Saccharomyces cerevisiae S288C: one gene and its partner. Changing the gene in region 2 together with the main gene of any one other region gives a genetic interaction. Each region holds a gene or a part of one and is shown on either strand. Other genes may lie near its edges.

Evidence for each region. Genes that interact genetically often act in the same process or in processes that back each other up.
Region 1: mutations in ERP4 (region 2) and STP4 together harm fitness more than expected from each alone (negative genetic interaction), as found in Saccharomyces cerevisiae (one large-scale study listed by BioGRID).

What each region holds. Positions count from the first base shown.
Region 1 is NC_001136.10:366,185-370,056, reverse strand, and holds STP4 (Stp4p), read left to right. Parts: upstream 1-1,845; coding exon 1,846-3,318; downstream 3,319-3,872. Other genes in the region: type 2A-related serine/threonine-protein phosphatase SIT4, read right to left, coding at 1-286.
Region 2 is NC_001147.6:359,929-363,123, reverse strand, and holds ERP4 (Erp4p), read left to right. Parts: upstream 1-2,039; coding exon 2,040-2,663; downstream 2,664-3,195. Other genes in the region: PET127 (Pet127p), read right to left, coding at 1-1,712; YOR015W (uncharacterized protein), read right to left, coding at 2,772-3,131; protein phosphatase 2A regulatory subunit RTS1, read right to left, coding at 3,177-3,195. UniProt on the Saccharomyces cerevisiae protein: Involved in vesicular protein trafficking.

The sequences.
Region 1 (3,872 bases), on a different chromosome or scaffold from region 2:
GCGTAAAAGTTTCCAGACTATAGTAGCCACGATCCACGTAATCACCGAGAAAAATGTAGTTTATATCGTCAGGAAAGCCACCCGCCGTACGGAATAGCTCTAACAAGTCATGAAATTGGCCGTGTATGTCTCCACATACAGTAACGGGGGTCTGTACCGGCTGGATGTTACTTTCCTCCATCAAAAGTTCTTTCACCATTTCACACAGTTGTTTCATCTCGTTTTCAGTTAGCGCCTGGCATTTCTTTATTGTTTCAAGCCATTCGTCGGGGCCTCTAGATACCATTGTTATTGTTCCTTTTATTATGGATGTTTTTGAGCTTCAATAGTATTTCACCTTGTAATGTCGAATCTAAAAAGAGCGAGGAGGGGACTGAAGAATAATAGGAAGAGAAAGAGGGACCGTATGTGCAGAACTCCTTTATCTGTATGCTTATGATAGTATGCAATAACCTATTGTATTGCTTCTTTTTCTTTTTTATCTACCGTCTGTAGCTCTTCAATGCTCCATTACGTTGTGTGCGAGCATCACTGGGTTTCCACTGAAGGCTATATTTTTTTTAATTTTGCTGGGCTTCGACTCGATATGCATGTTTTTTTTTTACCGCTCCATGAGCGAAGAGAGAAAGAGAGCGAGAGCGAAAGAAAAAATACAGCGGACTTGACTAGACTTATTACCCGCAGAAAGATGGATATCACTTAACACGGAAGTATCGCTCGCGCCGCTTCATGTTACCCGCGGCTGTGTTATTCCCCCTTTTTCTTTCTTTTTCTTTTTTTTTTTTTTTTTTTTTTTTGGATTTCTTTTAATTTCATTCTTTTCATCTCTCCTGCGTCGCCTTACACTTCATGGTTACCAATAGCGTGGCCTTCCTTTTTTTTTTTCCGGGAACCGCCGCGGCTTTGCAATTTGCTTGTTAGTCAAACCCCGCGGTAGTTAAAATCAGTGACAAGAGCAGAAAAAACACCACACGCAATGGCCGCATATGAGGCAAATGGTGGGGAGGCACGACGTGGCCGCACAGGGGAAGGGGAGCCCACATTTGCGTTATTTTTTTTCCTCCGGCTGCTTTTTAGCCTTCTACGCGCGGGACGGCTTGCGCGCGTTCTCGGAACTTCTAATTAGTCCGGGGGGAATCAAGTTCCGGGCCGACACTTACACGAGCACATTGAGGAAAATAAAATCCGGGAATGTCTTGCCGGATATGACCTGAATTGGGAATCCCGGATTTTTTTTACTACTTCTTTCGTTGGCCTCATTCGAGTCTTTGAATAGAAAAAGAACAGATCTCAAATAGCCGCATTGATTCTCGCTTGGCTGCCACACAATTTGGTAGTGGCTGTCGGAAACCCCCCATGCGCTTATTGCTAGATTGGTCTTTTCCTTCCCTTACGGCCCGTGGCTAACTCTCAAGGATATCTCTAGATTGTCACTTCCTAGGGGCATTGTTAGTGGTATGGTTACTTAAACCTATTTTATGTACGTAATGCTCTCCTCGCTGTTTTACTCTTCCCTTTTCCAATTTTTTTTCTTCGTTTCCTTTTGTTTTCTACTACTGATAGCTCCCATCCGCAGAGGAACAGAGGGCGAAAAAAAAAGCACCATTTCTTAAAAGTTAAAGCTGCATCAGTGCGTTCTTTATTCTGTCTATTTCTCAAAAGCGCATATTTCCGTCTTTATACATTTATATATATATTCTAAGTGGAGCTGGAAAAAACATGGAAGTAAATTCGGTGCCCTATGATTAGGATATCTAATTCTTGTCAGTTGCTTTTCTTGGTTTGCAGTAGCTGTAACACTGGAGCGCTTGGAATATTTGTTACTTCTTTTCTTTGGCTTCCCCTATGCTGGTATCATCATCTTTTGCATCAAGCATTGACTCAGTAATGTCCCATGAGACGATGTCTTTACGGAGAAACCCTCCCTTTATAGATACTCCAGAAAAAATGCCAAACCCAACGGCTTCTCCCAATGGCACCATTCACCATTTGATAGATCCATCACTGCCATTGTTGTCCAGTACTACGTCGTCTTCGCGCTCTACCCTCAGTTCTACACTGAATTCTCCTCCACCTCCCCCATTAACTACATCATACTCTTCTTATAACTCCTCTGCATGCCAGTCTATCACGAGTTCGCCTACAGACAATACAGCCTTGGCACATAATTCCAAATGCTATTTCCCTCATAGCCTTTCTCCAACACCGCTGTCATCCAACAGCTCAAGCCATGTCATTTTGCCACCCATATCCTCCTTCACCAATTTAATTACAGTTGCAGAAAGAGAATTTAACGGCAGATCAAATTCCTTGCATGCCAATTTTACATCACCGGTGCCAAGAACAGTGCTAGATCATCACAGACATGAGCTAACATTTTGCAACCCTAACAACACAACGGGTTTCAAAACCATCACCCCCTCACCACCAACTCAACACCAGAGTATATTGCCAACCGCGGTAGATAACGTACCGAGATCAAAATCCGTGTCCAGCCTACCCGTTAGTGGATTCCCACCTTTGATCGTCAAACAACAACAGCAACAGCAACTCAACAGTAGTAGTAGTGCCTCTGCACTACCGTCTATTCATTCCCCATTGACTAATGAACATACAAGCAGGTATTCATCGTCTTTAAAGGATTCCGCCAAGATAACGAAGCAAAGAAAGAAAAAGGAATGCCCCATCTGCCACAACTTCTACGCCAACCTATCTACGCATAAATCCACTCATTTAACTCCGGAGGACAGACCGCATAAGTGCCCTATCTGTCAACGCGGCTTTGCCAGGAACAATGATCTGATAAGGCACAAGAAGCGCCATTGGAAAGATGAATTTATGCAAATATACGCAAGGGAGTCCGACAACAATAGTGGTGCTGACGATCAAGATGACACTGCCCGCACCTCCGCAAACAACGACAGCGACGACTCAAACGATAAACTCGCTGCCTCATCCTCTTCCGAAGAAACAAAACTACTGAAGAAAAACCAATTGAAATCACTATACAAGATTAAAGGTGCATTCAAGTGTCCTTACAACTCTACTCTGATCAATTTGGATATGGAGGTGTATCCACACAAGTCTAGATCACTCTATTTCGAGCCAATAAACTGTCATCAAACGGGCGTTTTTTCGCGCTGTGATACTTTCAAGAATCACCTAAAGGCTTTGCATTTCGAGTACCCGCCCAAGACCAAGAAAGAAGATAGAGGTGTTGTGCCGGGGAAGTGCAAGCATTGTGGACTGCAATTTCCGAACGTTGACGTCTGGCTAAATAAGCACGTGGGGAAAGGATGTGGCTACTCATATCACTAAAACCAAAGTCATTCACCGACTCATACATACACACACATACATACATTTATTTATTTATGCCCTAATAATACACATCATTTCTGCGTAAATTATTGTTACGCTGCCCTACGTTATTAATCTAGATTCTTGTTTTCTCTCTGTGTCTCGTTTCTCTTTTTAGGCATGAAGCGAAAAAATCAACAACCGCTATTGACAGGAAGCAAGCTGGCATGAGCCGTTTTTTTTACTTTTTTTGATTTTACCAGAAGGGCGTTGAGACCTGCATCAGCCGTTTGCGGATAGGTTATGCCAGTGATGAAGCACCTGATTCAACTGCCGGCTCTCCGATTGGTCTCCGATCGTTTAGTTCCTTATATTGTACACTATTTCAGCTGTACAAGCCTAGGCCCGAATCGAATTATAAGTCCGTCCGGCTCAAGTCATGGACTCATTATCGATTCGTCTTTTTTTAGCTGCCCCCACGTTATCTCTTCTTTTTTTTTTCTCTGCATCGCGGCGAGTCCCTTGAAAGGGTCGCGAACCTTCGAAGCAGCACTTCTTTTTTTCACATGAGA
Region 2 (3,195 bases):
CTTTTGGATCGTTTTTCTTCAACTTCGGTTTTAAGCATTATTTTGCATTTTTCCCATTTCGTATTACTTGAGTTAAGTAACTGCTCAACGTGTTTCAAAATATTACTGAACAGATTCATAGACATCTTAAATTCCCTATTAGCCACCAAGCAAGCAATTTTCCTATCGTCCCTGTCATAGTGTAGAATGTAGTCCTCCTCACCATATATCCCTTTTGTGATATCATTCTTCTCCTTTAACAAACTGTCGAATTTGCTGTTATACGAAGAATGGATTATATAATCTAATTCGTCCAAAGGTAGATATTGGAATCCAAACATCTTAGAAATATTGTGGTATGCAACGAAAATACCGTCCATTTTGCCAATTCTAGCTTGCAAAGAATACTTTAGAAGGGCAGACCTGATTAGTTCAAAATATTCTCTTTCCAAAGACTCAAATTCCCCATAAACTTTATCTATCTCATATCCAGTTTGGTTGTTATTACTCTCTACATGTGATAAATCGTATCTTATGGCAGAAACTGCTCTTGTCTTCAGATCAAATACACCCGTTCCAGGTAGATTTGGGTCGTACGCGTCCAATTGAGATCTCACAATGAATTCATCTATACTAGAATAGTGATAATTTTCACTTTTTGAACTATTCTTCAGGGACTTTTCCGTTAAAAAGTCTTCAAGATAATGACCTAGTACAGAAAGCACAATCTCCCTATCCAGACTTCTATCTGAATCAATAGAACAAATGCCATTTCTCTTCTTTCTCAGAATGACTGCTGACGGAAAATATGCACTTTCTGAATAATTGCAGTTTTTTTGAGGAAAATTTTTCGATATCGAGGAATCAATGATATTCAATCTTCTGAAATTGGATAATAAATAGTGCAACTGAGAAAGTACTGATGTCATGGAACTTGATGAAGATATGTACTTTTTTCTATGTTCTTTGGCAACCTTTAACAGAGATTCATCTTTGTGGGGTGTGATGAATATTGGCTTGCTTTGTCCTTCTCCAGAGGAGTCTGTGTTCACATCTTTTTCACTTTTCTTTTCCAAATACTCTGGATTAATATTTTCCACTGCAGGGTCAAAATTATACATTCTGCTCCTATTATCTCTCAATTTTTGTAGCGACAACGGTTGGTATAACACTCTCGTTAATCCATGACCAATCCTAGGAGGCTTTTGGTTGTGTTTTTGAACACCATCTTGATTGTAACGTACTAATGCGTGCCTAATCTTCTGGACATTTATCCGAAAAGTGTATGAATTGCTATCTGAATATGTTCTGCTAGCGGGATATGTTCTCCTAGCGGGATATGTTCTCCTACCAGGATATGTTCTTCTACCAGGATACGTTCCTACCTTTGTCCGCTCCAAATACTTATCATGTCTATACTCCTTCTTTATATTTGTTTTCAGTAGATTAATCGCCTTGTCCATTTCTTCCGTATATTTTTGTCGACCTCCCTTTTCCTTGTTTCCAATGTCCTCTACAGTCGAATTTGTGTCATATATTTCATCGACCATCTCTAAAGCACTATGCAGGTCAGAACGTAGCTTGTCTGGTGTTTCTCTTCCACTAGGGGCATTTGTGAGAGCAGCGCCAAAGTGATAAATCGATCGCTGTTGATAGCTTTTAGCGGCGCTACCTATTCTGCAAGGCTCAACAGATAGACGTCTGGACAGGAATCTACAGTTGTAGAACCCCATTATCAAAACTATAAAAGTATCAGGTAGCGTTTGGCTCTTTTTTGTGCTCTCTCAAGTGCCCTGTTTATATTATATTTTTACATATTTGTTTCTTTATTAACCAACGGCATTGACGGAAACGCGCTTTATTATGGACTACTTTTTTTTCACTGTTTCCTGTTTTTTGACGTGATATACTCAAAGATGAGCGATTGACGATCTGAGAATTCTATTTGGGAACTCTTCTCTGCTTTGAAGACATTTATTTCCCAGCTGCCTTTGAAGTAGTTTCACGAGCGCTAGTGAAGTTTTTTCATAAATATATATTCCCAATCATCGCTAGGAATTATGCGCGTTTTTACTTTGATTGCGATTTTGTTTAGTTCATCTTTGTTAACACATGCATTCTCCTCTAATTATGCTCCTGTAGGCATATCATTACCTGCTTTTACCAAAGAATGTCTTTACTATGATTTATCCTCTGATAAAGATGTCCTTGTGGTCAGTTACCAAGTTTTGACAGGTGGGAATTTCGAGATAGACTTCGATATTACCGCCCCTGATGGCTCTGTTATCGTCACTGAAAGACAAAAGAAGCATTCTGATTTTCTACTGAAGTCGTTTGGTATAGGTAAGTACACTTTCTGTTTGAGTAATAACTACGGCACTTCCCCAAAGAAAGTTGAAATCACCCTCGAAAAGGAAAAGGAAATTGTTTCTTCCCATGAAAGCAAAGAGGACATAATCGCAAACAACGCCATCGAGGAAATTGATAGGAACCTGAATAAGATCACCAAAACAATGGATTATTTAAGGGCTAGAGAATGGAGAAACATGTATACTGTGAGTTCTACTGAGTCAAGATTAACATGGCTCTCATTACTAATTATGGGGGTAATGGTTGGTATCAGTATAGTGCAGGCATTAATTATTCAGTTCTTTTTTACCAGTCGCCAAAAAAACTACGTATAGGTTGCTTTTCAAGCTCTTAAAATTGTTGGATCAGCTGTGCTAAGGGGAAGGCACTTTTTTGTATCATGATCCTATTTTTTTTGTTATTTAATTATTTATGACATACCTTTATACTTTAGTTTTCAAAAATCCAATAATAGATAGGCAAGGTTTACGGAAAAGAGTGGAGTGCAAAATAAATAGAGGAAAGGCAGAAGGAAGAAGGAAAGCGAAAAGAAAAACGAAGATATATTTGGAGAAAAGTATAGAAATAATAAAATGAAGACACATCGATTGAAGTATGCTCAAATGATGAGAAAAAGAGACCTTTATCTCAGGCCACAAACAACCATTGTCCAAGTGGCTTATCTTTGCTATAGTTTTGTTCGAATATTCGGGGATTCTATCTTTGGTTTCTTCAACAAGTTGACCCCATTTACCAGTTCTTTTTTGCTCTTCATATACTGCTGCTCTTTTGAAATGTGGCATGCCCTAAACTTCCTCACTTCTTCGAGCTTGTAATGAATTGCTGTTTCACTGTATCTCGCTGTCA